2 linked regions of the Canis lupus familiaris genome follow. The protein of the gene in region 1 purifies or fractionates together with the protein of each later gene. This does not show direct contact. Links are inferred from orthologs where the notes say so. Each region holds a gene or a part of one and is shown on either strand. Other genes may lie near its edges.

Evidence for each region. Proteins that work in one complex are often made in the same cells at the same time.
Region 2: the proteins of ACIN1 (region 1) and SAP18 fractionate together in Homo sapiens (co-fractionation; 7 studies listed by BioGRID and IntAct, with this or other methods). This does not show direct contact. The link is inferred for Canis lupus familiaris from reciprocal best matches to the Homo sapiens genes ACIN1 and SAP18.

What each region holds. Positions count from the first base shown.
Region 1 is NC_049229.1:3,494,724-3,496,963, forward strand, and holds part of ACIN1 (apoptotic chromatin condensation inducer in the nucleus), read right to left. Parts: coding exon 2,212-2,240; intron 1,684-2,211; coding exon 1,538-1,683; intron 1,137-1,537; coding exon 1,029-1,136; intron 891-1,028; coding exon 783-890; intron 541-782; coding exon 216-540; intron 105-215; coding exon 4-104; intron 1-3.
Region 2 is NC_049246.1:17,090,080-17,094,035, reverse strand, and holds the start of SAP18 (histone deacetylase complex subunit SAP18), read left to right. Parts: upstream 1-1,156; 5' UTR 1,157-1,206; coding exon 1,207-1,335; intron 1,336-1,518; coding exon 1,519-1,628; intron 1,629-3,956. UniProt on the Homo sapiens protein: Component of the SIN3-repressing complex. Enhances the ability of SIN3-HDAC1-mediated transcriptional repression. When tethered to the promoter, it can direct the formation of a repressive complex to core histone proteins.

The sequences.
Region 1 (2,240 bases):
CACCTGGCTGTCAGTCAGTGGGAGCCAGTAGATGCAGGGAGCTGCCTTGGTCTTACGGAAAAGGTCGTCCAGCAGTTTGGCAGGTGGTTCCTCCTGAGCTTTTTCTGAGGTGGAAGCAAAGGAGTCAGTCTTTACGCCCGAAGACCCTGTATCCCATCCCATTTGGGTCCCTTTCCCACCTACTAGCAGGTATGTGTGTCCCCACAGCTAAGTACCTTTCTTCTCACTCTTCTTTTCTTTAGACTTCGCACGTTCCTTGCGGCGGCGGTCACGGGACCGTGATCGGGAGCGGGGCCCTTCTCGAACTTTGTCCCGATCCCATTCACGCTCTGATCGAGTTCGCTCCCGCCGCTCCATTTCCCGTTCCCGCTCTGCCCACTGTTCCCGCACCGCCCGCTCCTGCTCCCGCTGCTCTGCCCGGGGGTGCTGTGGTGGCTGGGCTGGGGGTGGGGGCGGGGGGTGCAGGGGCCGTGGTACCCCCTGCTCCTCTGTCTTAGTTTCAGAGGGACGGTCCACCAAGAGGCCCCGGTGATAATCCAGCTGTGGGTAGAGGAGGGACAAGGACAGTCAGGATGGACAGGAGAACACTCCCACTGAAGGAGCCCAGGTACCAGGGCATATAGATTTTGGAGTCCCATGGTTCAACTAAAGGAACCAAGGGGGTAGGGAGAAGAGGGAGAAGGAATCTCAGTGACTGCAGGTTTGGCCAGGATCTCAGCTGGATTCTAGCAGATAATGGCCTCCCCTGCCCCTCCCCTCCTTCCTTTCCCTAGGTTTCTCACCTCATCTTGCTCAGCATAGTCAGCACAAAGGAATTTGGGATTGGACTGAGGCCATTTGACCCCATGTAGAGCTGTGCGGGTGGCAACTGCTTCCTCTACTGTTGAGTACTGGTGGAGGAAGAGAGAAGGCAGAGGGTCACAACAGGCCTCAATCCCTCCCACTTGCCACAAGGCCCTCAAACCTGCCCACATTGTTACAGAAGGAAATATATGCCACGACCCAGAGAATCAACTTCCTCCCCTCACCGTTACAAAGCAGTGAGATTTGATCTTGTCAATCCAGAAGGCCTCTTCCACCAGAGTTCCTGTCCGGCCCAACAATTCCTTCAGTTGGCCTAAAGTGAAGGGACGCACCTGCCAAGGAAAATGGAGTTTCAGAGTCTTGAAAAAGGCAAGAACAATACCCCTGTAATTAGTCTTCAGATTTCCCCAAGTATATGGTACAGGAGTATAGCCTCAAAGTCTGGGTGCACAGGGGCCAGGAACTCTCACATGGGAATGAGAGAAGAGTGAAGAATAGTAACACTAACTGACACTATGCACCAGGCCCTCTGCAAATTCTCTAGATGACCCTGCACAATGATACTCTGTCCCCATTTTTCAGATGAGGAGACCCGTTGTGAGAGATTAAGCCAGTCACTCAGTAAGTAAATAACTTAACTGGCAGATCTAGGAGTTGAAGTTAAGTAACAGGAATCCAAAGCTCAAACTCTCAAACACTAAACACTGTGCTGTGGGAAGCGACTTTGGCTCACCAAATTGGAGATGTGGACGATGTTACTGATCTTGCCCCGGGGCGGGGAGGGCACCTGAGCAGTTCGGACTGGGTCATCAATTGTAATGGAAACTCCAGACTTTTGCTGGCTAATGGAACGTCGAGTTAAGGTATCTCCTAAAGTCACTATCAAAAAGAGAACACAAGAAACAGTTTTCAGCAGGGAGCAATACTGGCTCTCTTCCCTGTGCCATGCCTCTTATTCCCTAGCATGCAGTCACTCTTCCATCTAGTCTTCCATTTAACTGTGTTCAGCAGCTACAGCGTGCAAGGTACCGTCTAGGCAAAGCTCCTCATTACGGAGCCTCACAGATTTTAACCTAGCTTTCAAGAAGCTTAATAACTAGGAGAGGGAGGTAAAACATACACAAGATACTATAATAAAAAGCAGGAAACATGAAACCCTTTAAAGAGAGGTCCAAGGATGCCCGGGTGGCTCAGCGGTTGAGCATCTGCCTTCAGCCCAGGACCTGATCGTGGAGACCCGGGATCGAGTTCCACATTGGGCTCCCTGCATGGAGCCTGCTTCTCCCTCTGCCTGTGTCTCTGCCTCTCTGTCTTTCATGAATAAATAAATAAAATTAAAAAGAGAGAGAGAGAGAGAGATCCAAATAAAGTGCTATGGGAATACAAGGAGCCACATGCTTCACCTACCTTTCTTTACTTCATGCTCCACAGGTGGG
Region 2 (3,956 bases), on another chromosome or scaffold:
GATCCAGGGTCTCCAGGATCACAACCTGGGCTGAAGGCGGCGCTAAACTACTGGGCCACCGCGGCTGCCCAATACATTTTATTTTTTTAAATTACACTTCAGTGTTTGGGGTACAAGTAAATACATGGCATAGTAATTTTTAAAAGATTTTTTATTATTTATTTATTCATGAAAGACAGAGAGAGAAGCAGAGACACAGGCAGAGGGAGAAGCAGGCTCCATGCAGGGATCCCGACTTGGACTTGATCCCGGGTCTCCAGGATCACGCCCCGGGCTGAAGGCGGCGCTAAACGGCTGAGCCACCCGGGCTGCCCGGCTCTATGGTTTTCATGCAATCTCTGACTAGTAAGGAGCTTGAGCATCTCATGGTTATTAGCCATGTGGGTTTCTTCATTTTAAAAGCACTTTTCGGTTATTTTACCCATCTTCCATTGGGTTGTCTGTTCTTTAATAAAAGCTATGGGACACTAGCTTTTGTCAATCACCTGCATCATGGAAATTTTTTACCACTCTGTGGTTTTTCTTTCTTGATGATGTATTTTAAGGTCAGGCCTCGTGGCTTTACTTTTTTTTCGATTTAAATCTCGTCAGGTTCACCGATCTCTGGCTCCACGCCTTTTGTATCACGTATCCCAACGCACTGATCCTGAAGCGCGTTCACGCTACGCCACAAAGTTCTCGTCCTGCTGTTCACACGCGGGTCCCTGGCCCACCGCGTGCGGAGGCGCCCGTCACCCTCCCGCGGTACAGACGGCTGACGATTTCGCGAGCACACACTGCAGCACCGTCTTCCCCTCCATTTCGCAGCCTCTTCCGTCTTCCCTCTGGCGTCCGGTTCCCATCCAGGTCTTCCTTTATTCCAGAGTTTGATGCTCCGCTGACTCACTGATCCCCTGTACCACTCTCGAGTCCTTCGTTTGCGAACATTCACTACGCGGGAACAATGCCCCGCCGGCTTGTTTGTCCCGCGAACAACTGGCGGTCACTTCCTCAGCCTCCGAACACCCACAGCGACACGATCCCTCAGAAACCCCGCCCCGCGGACGCCAACGCCCGCCTTTTTCCTGAGGACGCAACACGCAGGCGTGGCCGGGCCCGGGCTCACGCGCCGCACAACGAACTGCGCCTGCGCCAGCAAACGCCCCGCCCCTCCTCCCCGGTCCTCTATAAAGCCTCGAGCTTCTCCTCGCGAGAGACTCCGTTCTCATGCTCGCTGCGGGGGTCGGAGGTCAGAGCGAGCGTCTCGCGGGCCGTAGGAGGAAGATGGCGGTGGAGTCGCGCGTTACCCAGGAGGAAATTAAGAAGGAGCCGGAGAAACCGATCGATCGGGAGAAAGTATGGGATCCGGAGAGAGGTGGAGGTGGGCCCGGCGGGGCGGAGAGCGCGGCCTGCGTGCAGGAAGCGGCAGTGTTTGCTCCCCGGGCTGTAAGAGGCCGCGACGCCTCCGGAGGGAAAGGGAGCCCCGGACCCGAGCCGCTTTCTTTAACTTCTGCCCTCCTTTTCCTCCTCTGCTCCCAGACGTGCCCGCTGCTGCTGCGTGTTTTCACCACCAATAACGGCCGCCACCACCGAATGGACGAGTTTTCCCGCGGAAACGTGCCGTCCAGCGAGCTCCAGATCTACACTTGGTGAGAGCGCGGGGTCCGCGGGGGCGGGACCCGGGGGGTGGTCGGGCATTAACACAGTAATTCCCTCCGTGGCTCCGCTTCCTCCCCTTCCGGGTCCTTGGGCCCGGCTCTCAGAAAGTTGGAAGTTTTAGTTGTTAGGTAAAAGGGGATTCTCCCATCTTGTAATACAATTAAGCTTCATGTTCAAACTTTTGGGTTGTGAAGAACTGACGCACCCAGGATTGCTATCACTGTTGTGGCTGCTTGGTATAAAAATACACGTAGATAAATAAAATGCAGTAGCTGCCCTGAAGGGGCCCGTAGTCAACTAAATGGTACTAGAATTACATAGTAAAGTAAATCCTCAAGAGCATTTCTGTGAAATATTAAGCCTTCAATGCTATAGTATTAAAAAAGGAAATCAGCAAAAACCCAACTGATTTCTGATCTGGTGCTTAATGGAAAAGCTTTTAATGTGTGTTTCGTGAAGACCTGCCCCTGAATGTTTATGTGTACCTTCTCTACCCCTAAGTCTTTCTTAGGGCCATTACATGTTGTAAGCATATTTTTAGAGCTGCATATGTTTCCTTAGTTTGACATCATAATGGCTGTGTAGTAGCAGTAAAAAGTTAAGTGTTAAATATATATCTTTATTATATAACGTTAAATTTGCTATTATAATTCTTAAATGTATGATTCAGTTGCATCAGTTATATTCGCATTGTGCAACTATTACCTATTACCAAAACTTTTTCCCCCTCCTTGGCAGAAGTTACCCAGTAAGCAGTAATTTTCCATTCCTTTCTTCCCCGATAGACTCTAATCTAGTTTATATCTATATGAATTTGCCCAGTCTAGGTATTTCACACAAGTGTTGTGTTTGGCTTATTTCAGTGTGACATTTACAAGGTTCATCCATGTTGTAGCACATTCTTTTTTATGTGCACACAACTTCATTTTTTTTTTATGGCTTAATATTTTAATGTATGGATATACCACGTTTTGTCTGTCCACTTTTCTGTTGATAGGTACTTGAGTTTCCATTTTTTTGGCTTTTGTGAATAATGTTGCTATGAACCTGGGTATGCACATATCGTTTGAATCCTTTTGGGTATATTCCCAGAAATAGGATTGCTGGATCATAACATTATTACATGTTTAACTTTTTAAGGAATAAGGAAATAACAAGCTGGTTTTCACAGCAGCTGCACCATTTTACAGCCCCAGAGAGTGTGTAATTTTAAACTGTGAGTCCAGCACTCACTCCTTTAAAGACTGGGACCGTAATTGTCTTTGTGTTGGTATTGGTTAAAGTTATGTAATATGATTTTAGTTCAGCATCATTCCAGGATAAAAGCTCCAGGAAGGTTGATTTAACTTACAAGAAAGAACTGTTACTAATGTATTGATGAAAACTCTGTTCGGGATTGAAGTGTATACTTCTCCAGGCATCAGAGTTCTATTTGCTAGGTGCTGTGCTTAGATTTTGAGGGTATGAAGTAAAGAAGGTACTGCCCCTCCACGCAGTCAGCTCAGCCTACTGGAGAAAGCAGATGAATAAATGCTAATTAGGTAAGACTTAAGGGTGAAGATAGCAGAGTGAGATTGTTCCAAAGATCCTTTACTCCTAATCCAGAAAAAAAATTACGTAAAAATTCTGCCCAAAACTGTCCTATCCCTAAACTGCAACCAAATAAGGAAAAGCAACTTATGTTATACCTTAAAATGATGGTCAAAGACAAAAATTCTGAAAGACTTGTGGTTGGTGTGACAGCACAGAGTCCTGCCCCCTTTTCCAGAAACAGTACTGAAGGAAGATTAGTTAACAAATCTTGGGAATTCTCAATTTGTAGAAGTAGACTGTAGGACTGAATAGGCAGCCCTAAGATAAGTCTAAGAAAAAGGAGTGAAGTCCAGAGGAGCCTAGCAGAAGTCAGTTGAGTTTGCCAAAGTTCAAGGCACTGTGTGGAGTTGGAGGAACAAGCCAGACACCACAGGAGTGGTAAATCTCCCTTGCTCGGGTGGTCATTAAACAGGTTATTGAAAGGGAAGTAATTAGGTAGCTATATCAGGGTTTAGCTAGAAAAATGGAACCAGTCGGAGATCTGTATGAAGAGATTGATTGCAGAGAATTGGCTCACATAATTATGAGGGCTGCCTAGATAACTAAGTCCCTAATCTATGGGGTGAGCTATAAGGAAGGGCCAGGCTAGAACAAACTCTCAAACAAGAGCTAAGACTGCTCACAGCAGCCTGAATTTTTTTTAGAGAAGCTGCACTCTGCTCTTAAGGTCTTTTCAACTACTTGAATCAGGCCTATTCAGATTTTCTGGGATCATTTAAATTTAA